Linked DNA regions of Oryzias latipes. The protein of the gene in region 2 interacts with the protein of the main gene of each other region in a pairwise test. Links are inferred from orthologs where the notes say so. Each region holds a gene or a part of one and is shown on either strand. Other genes may lie near its edges.

Region 1 (4,523 bases), on a different chromosome or scaffold from region 2:
CAAAAGTGTGTCTCCATCAGAGGGATTTGGAGTAACGCCGCCTCACAGAGTCTCTGTAGAACTGGAAGATCCTCTCTGAGGCTCTCTGGCTGACCGCTACACACTGCTGCAGCTGCAACCAGCAGAAGAAAGACAAGAAACATCTGAGAGGATTGAAATGAGAGCTTAGCGGAAGATGATGGAAAAACGGCTGGACGGACCTCATGAACGGAAAAGGATCCTTTGGTGGATGACATCATTACTTTACGTTCTTTACTGTCGATGGCAAAAGTCATCAAAGCTCGACTCTCCTTTGAAAAGAAATTAAAATAGGACTTTAGTGCCAGACGGGCAGACAACCAATTTTAAAGGCAAACTGTTTTAGAACTGAAACACTGAGACAAAAGGATGAACTGAAGGTGACACACTAAAGAAAAACTGCATTTTTATGAAATAAAAAAAAAATAGTTTTGGTGGAAAATGAACCCATTTTTTTTTAGCAAAGTTAGAATTTTTATTAGCCTTTAAATTTGTTTATCCTCCCCTGAGCTGGAATCTGGATCTAAACTACACAGCTGGATTTTTGTTTCACCAGTAAAGTTAGGTCAGGGGTGTGATCTGATGAAAACCGACATCCATGTTTTAGGGATTCTATGAAATGTGACTTTTTTTCATGAAAATTAAACCATAAATTGAGAACTTTTTGTTAAACTTGCTTTCTGATTATATTTCTACATTCAAAGCAGCAAAAATGAAGATTTTCAGGTTAGTGTCAGCATCTTTGGTTGACCTTTTCCTGAGCTGAGGTGGGGTCAGTGATGATCTGCCCGTATGCGCTGATGGCGCAGGTCACGCCGCAGAAGAGGCAGCTCATCGGCAGACCTGCGTCCATGAGGGCCATGCAGGCTGCATTCAGGCAGCAGGACAGGAGCTGCAGAGCAGGTAAGGAAGACGACTCGGCAGGTGCTAGGCCACGCCCCCCGCGGGTTCAGAGGTCGGGTTTAGTAAAGGATACAGAGCCGTCGTCGTGCAGCACCTGGAGGACCAGCGTGAGCGAAGATCGAGGGTGGAGGGTGAGCAGCAGCGCCTCCTCGCAGGTTTCACGCACACACTGCTCCTGCGAGCGCTCCCTCACACCTGGAAAACAGAGGCATGATGGGATATGAGTTCAAAGCTGATAAGGAATCCACTGGCTCCCCCTTATGGCGTAATCCTATAAATCAGTTGCACAAAACATTCCTAAAGAAAGACTTTAATACCTTGATCGGACCTTTGTCTTAATGCTTATTTATAAATTGCAGAACTGTTGAGATACGAGTGAGCCTTCAGATGAAACTAAAACCCACATGAGACCTGAGGAAGTTCATCTTTTTACTGTGATTCAGTAGAAATAAAACAGCATCTGTGATTTCCATTCAACCCAAAGACATGAATGAAACCAGGCTTAAGAGGATATTTGCATATAAACATTTGAATCCATTGAAAGTGATTATAATTGTCTCTACATTTAACAGACTTCCTTCTTTAAAGCTGGATTTATTCATTTTAGAGCAACAAAAACAAGGATTAGTAGTTGTTTTTGCTTTTTTTCTACAACAGATTAAAAACAAAAAGGATTGAATTGGTTTCAGAAAAACCAGACACACGTGACAGCATCTGACTTTTCCAGGACATGCAGCAGAACTTACTCGGCAGACCAACTTTGGGCTGAACCAGCACCTCCAGAGTTGCTCGGTCGTAGATCTCCTTACTGACCTTTACTTCAGCAGGTCCATAAACTCCAGCCATCACACTCGTGTCCCCTCCAGAGACACAAAAACAACACAAAGATCAAAGTTCTATTAAAATAGAGGACAAACCTGAAACAATGATGTGATTTCTACATTCTTATTGTGTCTGTAAACTTTGATCTTGGCTATAAAACATAAAAACAGTGTAAATCTTGCAGTAAATGCATGACCAAATCTGCTGCTTAGAGTGGTGGTTTTGGTTCAGTTTCAGGTTTACTGTAGAATTATTACATAGTATATAATTCATTCATCTTCTAAACCCGTTTTGTCTCTTTCAGGGTCACAGGCCTGCTGGAGCCTATCCCATACACTATATTAAACAATATCTTGAAAAAAAAGAATAAAAAAGAAGATGGGGTCATATTAAAAAAATAATTTAAAGCATTACCCCAAAAAAAAACTTTTATAGGGAAATTATTAGAAAATCTTTGAAAAAATGTTGCTCCAAGACCCCAGACTATACAGTCCGATGCCGGCGATGTAAACAGTTCACAATGACCACTAGGATACAAATATTCAAAGATGATTTGGGGAATGAAAAAAAGAGGATGAGTAAACCAAGAAATAAATATTTAAATTTGAGAGAGCTGATCTGAACACAGAAAGTAAAACAGATGAATCCAACATTTCAACATCTTTATTTATAGAAAAATGACTAGAAATTATTTTTCAAATGTTTGGCTTCTTAATGGTTTAACAGCAGTTGACTTTTGATTACAAAAAACTAAATGTGAAAAGATAAGTTCGTAAAAATATTTAGTTATTATTTAGCTGCTCATTTTTGTTCTTGAATATTAACAATTTTACAACATTTACCAAGAGCTAAAACTAATGCAAAACCAAAATAAAGCAAATACAAAAAGTACTTTAGGACATTCTTAGCTTAAAACTCATTTAAAGATCGTTTGCCAGCAGTCGAGAGTCAAATTATTTCTCTGAAATAATAAGTTTGTCCATAATTCTTTGGGCGGAATCGGGAGTTGTACTCATATTCTTAAAGAAAAAAGTCAACATTTTCCTTCAGCTGTTACCTTGAACGAAAGACGCAGATCCATCCGGCCGAGAAAGTAAACTCTGCTCGCAGCCAAACTCTCGGAGAGAAACATTTGAAGGAGCAGAAACCTCCATCACGTTGCCAACACGGAAGGGGATGCGTCGCTGGACGATGACGTCATCTATTTACCGACGCGAAGGGGCTCTGCATCAAAACCAATGTTGTGTTTTAAATTTTGTGTTCAATAAAAAACAGTCAGAAAGTCAACAACAAAGTAAGTAGTTTAAAAAATATATTATTAACATTATTATTATTATTATTATGATTATTGCTATTGTTGTTGTTGGACACTTTTATTACGTGTCTTTATTTTCCATATAAAATGTATTTTTTACGTATGCCTGTCATTTAATTGGTGTCAGTATTTGACATAAAGACAGCAGGTAATGCAGGCAGTAAAACAGCTGCACTTTTTGAGATTAGACATAAACAATGGATCATTTGTTAATGAATGAATTAAGGCTTTTTGGAGAATTTTTACTGTTGGTGTTGCACAAAATTAGGAAAATGCCAAAATAAACTTTGATTAATTCCAGTGAGGAGTTATATGATTTAGTTTTTAATGTTTTATAAGACCTATAAATGGTTTTCATAATAGCAGTTTAAAAAAAAATCAAATCCCTTTGATACGTTTCACAAAGACACACACAGCACGTCACACAGCAAGCAGAAATGAACTTACTTGCTGACAAAAAATTTGACAAAACAGCAAATAAAACGGAATAATTTGAATTAAATATTTCCAGACTTTGTTTATTTTGTTCTGCAGCATGTTCATATTTGTATAATTTTGACTGAATATATTTTTATGGAGAGCACCGTTATTAACGGTTTAACTTGATTTATTCTGGATTAACAATACTGTCTGTTTTTATTCATTTTTATGTTAAAAAACCTCTGTTATAAAGGTTTAAAAGTATTTTTTGTTTTGTTTTTTAAAGTGTAGCTTTAGTTTGGTAAATAAATGTTGTTGGGCCCCCAACTTAAAGCATGTTTTCTGTTTAGGCCCCCTGTGTGAGTGAGTTTGACACCCCCGTAATACGAGCCCACAAAATTCACGCATCTTTTGTGTAAAATGGCCAAATAAAAATAGGGAACACAAAAGAACGTCAAATTGCACTGGGGAGTTACTCTCCCTGGGAGTAAGTTAGTGCAGAACCACCACTGCAGTCAATAATCAATGAATAATGTCAGAAATGATGATTTATATGTTATTAATTCTAAATAACGTTGTGACAACAGTTGCTATGGGGAACTGCCATATGGCACTTTGTGTAGCATGATAAATAATACATGCAGCACAGCTAATTCTTTCGCAGAGGGAAGAATTCACCGATAAATGAAACTATGCCTTCATGTCTGGATCAAAGTTTTATCAAAACTGCAGCAGTGGAGAAAGTGGTTGCCCCAATCTCCAGTCACCTTTGTCTCCTCGTGCTGCTGTGCGACAGTGAACATGAGCCAGAGCAGTTCACCCGGCTGGAGGCAGCGGCTCACGCTGTGGCCAGAGCTACTGAGAACATGGCAGCAGTGGCCTCCAGGTATGTGCATTCCTGCTAGTCAATTACATCTGCCTTTGTCAATCCACAAGAGACCGAAGTGACTCTCTGTTTAGGCAAATTCAAGAGACGGATGATGATGTGTTGCACATGGAGATGTCCGCCCTTCTTGAGTCGGTCACCGTGTCGGGGCAGCATGTG
Region 2 (3,818 bases):
AAAACATTATTAAGACTCTTTGAATGTTTAAAGGTAAAGATAACTATGGAAGGTCGCTCTGTTCTGCTGCAGAGCTAATAAATGACAGACAAACTTAATGCGGGAATCTGGATTCAGGATAGACTTGAACTTACACGACCTCTGCTGAAGCTCCTGATGCTGATATGACAGAGGGGAGGCTTGTCCTATTCTAGCAGGGCTGGGCCCACGGTTCTGCCCCCCCCAATCACACTCTCGGACCTGAGTCCCCCACTCGCTGGGGCTCGAGGAGGAAGAGGAGGTGAAGGAGGGAGTGGGCTCCGGCAGCGGTGAAGAACATAGCGACCGAGACTGAAACGCAGAGGAATTTAAATAAGGGCCCCCTCAGCTCCGTTCGACCGCCGTGAATGACAGGTACTCACCCTTTCACAGCCGCTCAAGCGGCCTGAAGACCTTTTGGCGTGGGCCGCTTTCTGAGGAGCAGGTGCCGCCACGTCAGCTGTGTCCTGTCTGAAGTTGTGTTTGGAGCCTGAAGGAAATACAGAGCTGCTGAGTCCAAACAAGCTGGCTCCAAAATCCAACCTTCAATTCAACCCAGATTTAGGATTTGGCCAACATTCAGCATCTGCTAGATTTGGTACAGTCCACATTGTCAATAAGCTATTTGACAATCATTATATGCAATAAATTTAAGGGGATATATGTGAGTACTAATATGTGGAAATATGTTTTTTTGATTTAAAGTTTATTTTTACAATTATATTTTCAAGGAGATAGCCTTATTTTCTTATATTTTTTTATAATCAATTAATGAATTCATAACTTAAAAGGTTTGATATATTTAAGTATGTATTAATGAACCAATTTCAAAGAAAACTTCAGAAGCCGTGAACAGCCTGCCTTTCTTCTTTTTTTCTCCCCTTTTCTCGTAATATTACCTCTCTTTTTTACAAGAAAACAATTGTTTTTCTTGTGATAATAAGATCATGGTAGCACGAGAACACTGAAAATTGACTTTTCCATTTATGATCACCTGCTTGTAGACACGGAAAAAACATTCATGCATCGCTCTGTAACCATGTTAACGGCCTGGTCCCTTCATCTGCTCACTGATGAAATTGAAAACAGCAACCGGAAAAACTGTAGTCAAGACGTTTGGAGAGCGTAGCCACGGCAACAAATCAAAAGCGTTTCTTTGCCGTTGTTGGGCAAGCTGTACGGCTTAGTTTACAGCCTACTGTAATCACAAAGTAAAGACACCTAAAACAGATTACAACTCAGCGTCTGAGTGGGGGAAAGGGACGCTACAGTTTATTCTTATCTCGACGTCTACGATCTCGTTATCAAAAAAAAACTTGTTAGTATATAGTAGATGTAGCTATCATGAGAAAACTGCAAAAAAAAAGAAAGAAAAAGGCAAGGTAGGCCGCTTTTAACTGCTTTTCCCCTCATCAGATAAATAAGAATTGTGATATTTATTTTGTGAACATCTTTTAAAATCTGCGTATTTCTGCCACTAAAGGATGACTCAATGCTTGCTGAGAAATACTTTTCAAAACGTATTTTTGATTTGTAATTTGCAGAAAAAAGTTCAAATGCGTCTAAAATTTGACAAATACTTTAAAATACGTCTATTGAATCTACAAAGAGTAAAGCTAGATTTGCAAGAGTTGATCTGATGGTTTTGTAGAAGGTTTTCCAGCGTTTCTATGGAGTTAGAAGAGGAAATCTAGTGGTACCCCTCTGAGAGCTGATGGTGCAGCTGATCTGCGTGTTCAGGTTCAGGCAGTCCTGATCTTTGTCTGTTGAGAAACAAAGGTCCTCCTGGGGCCCTGAATGCCTGGTGAGGGGAGGGGCGTTCCTGCGCGGTTCGCTCTCCGAAGATCGATGTTTTCTTCTCTCCCCCCCCTTTCTTGTCTCTCCTTTGCCCCCTCCTTCCTGTGACTTGGAGCCGGAAACCTCGTTAAATGGGTTGTGGACAGAGTTCCAGTGCGGCGGCTCGTTCTTTGGCTGGGCTTCGGGTAAAGAGTTCAAGCTGGAGTCGGCCCCCGGTCTGCTGCCGCTGCTGCCGGTGGGGCCGCTGGAGCTCAGGAGGGGGGGTATCACCCCCCCGGCTGCTGCAGCCAGAGAGGACTGATGAGTTGGACTGCCAATCATTGTTATTGCAAACGGGTCGTCTGAGGTGACAGGAGGGGGGAGGCTGCGGTCCCGCTTTCTGTCTCTGCGGTTAGACGAGGATGATGAGGACGAAGAGGAGTGGGTTGGGAGGGTTTTGGTGTCTGTGAGCGAGACAGTAAACGGGTCTCCGCGAGCCTCCTTGCCCCTGCCATCCTGGGACTGGCAGGGGGGAGGGCGCGTCCAGGGGTCGGAAAAGTTCAACGTCTCCTGAGTGACCGTCCTCTCAAAGACGGCTAGGAAGGGGTCCTCAGTGGGAATGTGCTTGCAGTTCCACACAGAAGGCTCCATCTCAGGTGGGGGGAACTGAGAAAAGGCAGTAAACTGAGAGGCGGAGTCCTTCTCTGGGGGGCCACGGGAAGGGCGTGTGGAAGGGGCAGACCAGGCATAATCGTCCTGTGAGTTTGCACTGCGTCCAGGGGTGGGTTCGTGAAAAGCAGAGAGGAAAGGGTCCACCGGTCGCCCCAGGGTTTGTGTCTGCTCCTTGCTCTGCGACACTGGGGGCCAAGCTGCCCAGCCCGTCGGCTCAGGGGAGGGTCCCAAAGGCTGATGGGAGGGGGAGTCCAAGCCTGAGTCCTCAACATTCTCCGGGGAGGAAGAGTCAGATGAGAAGGCGGCATCTGAAAGACAGTAAACAGGTCCATCAGTGAGAGTTCCAGACCAAACAGTTTTTCTGAAACTAAAGGTGCAAAAGTAACCAAAACCTCGAATCCAAAGAAGATTTTTGATTCTGTCTGGATAAATACAAACATTTTAGACTTTCTTGGGAGTGCCCTGACGTTCTTCATCTTTGACGTAAACCATGCGTTTGTGGTCAGACATCAGTGTCCGCCTGTTTTTATCTGGACTTTTTACAGAAAGTCATATCAAATCTGCTTCATTCGAGTCAGACTTTAACATCTAGATTTTCAAAAATACCTTTCTGCAATGATTTATGAGTTTGAACGAAAAACAATGGTTCAAAGTGATTCCATGAAACGCAAACTTTATTTTTAAAGTACAGATGTAACTTTAAAAAACTGGAATTACACTGTGTGAATATTATATTTTAAAAATAATGATCTGAATTTTGGGGTGTATTCAGACCAGAAAAACCCGTTGGTTGTTGAAGACTCTCGTTCATCCAGGTGGCGTTATTATGGAGCCATGGCAACTGGACTTAAAATATTCTTTCGCCAGTGACGAAACTTTTCAAGAAAGAATATTTTAAGTTCAGTTGCCATGAATAAACTTCAAGATTCCATCATAAATGTTTTTTTAAATTAATCAAATTTTCTTAATGTTTGAATGATGTAGCAGACGACCTGCAGCCGTGCTCCTCGGTTTGGCGGCAGAGTGAGCGCTCCCACTGTGGCTTTCAGCCTTTTCTCTGCTGCGGTTGCCGCTGGTCACCAGTCAGCCAGGTCTGGATGTGGAATTTTTCTGGCTCCTCATCATCAACCGAAGGACGGATTGTATTCAGACTGAGGAATGTCAGAGCGATCTGAAGCTCAGTCCGACTGGAAACGAACCGAGACCACCTCGAAAATCGAGAGAAACGAACTCTTGTTGGCTTTAAACAAGCCAAATGTGTCCAGTCTGAATACACCCTTGGTTTCAGAGAAATGGGTGCAGGTTCATGAATGGAAACCGATTTTTCTTACATTCAGAAGCTCCAAAAGTGT

What was found.
Region 1: the proteins of F-BAR domain only protein 1 (region 2) and exosc5 interact in binary tests that used the Homo sapiens proteins (3 or more experiments, as listed by UniProt). The two-hybrid records come from large-scale screens. The link is inferred for Oryzias latipes from reciprocal best matches to the Homo sapiens genes FCHO1 and EXOSC5.

The regions. Positions count from the first base shown.
Region 1 is NC_019873.2:26,312,655-26,317,177, forward strand, and holds the start of exosc5 (exosome complex component RRP46), read right to left. Parts: upstream 2,944-4,523; 5' UTR 2,898-2,943; coding exon 2,801-2,897; intron 1,782-2,800; coding exon 1,668-1,781; intron 1,117-1,667; coding exon 995-1,116; intron 911-994; coding exon 770-910; intron 291-769; coding exon 201-290; intron 113-200; coding exon 17-112; 3' UTR 1-16. Other genes in the region: catenin alpha-1-like, read left to right, coding at 4,171-4,364, 4,439-4,523. UniProt on the Homo sapiens protein: Non-catalytic component of the RNA exosome complex which has 3'->5' exoribonuclease activity and participates in a multitude of cellular RNA processing and degradation events.
Region 2 is NC_019862.2:14,978,216-14,982,033, forward strand, and holds part of F-BAR domain only protein 1, read right to left. Parts: coding exon 3,798-3,818; intron 2,775-3,797; coding exon 1,719-2,774; intron 509-1,718; coding exon 402-508; intron 331-401; coding exon 135-330; intron 1-134. UniProt on the Homo sapiens protein: Functions in an early step of clathrin-mediated endocytosis. Has both a membrane binding/bending activity and the ability to recruit proteins essential to the formation of functional clathrin-coated pits.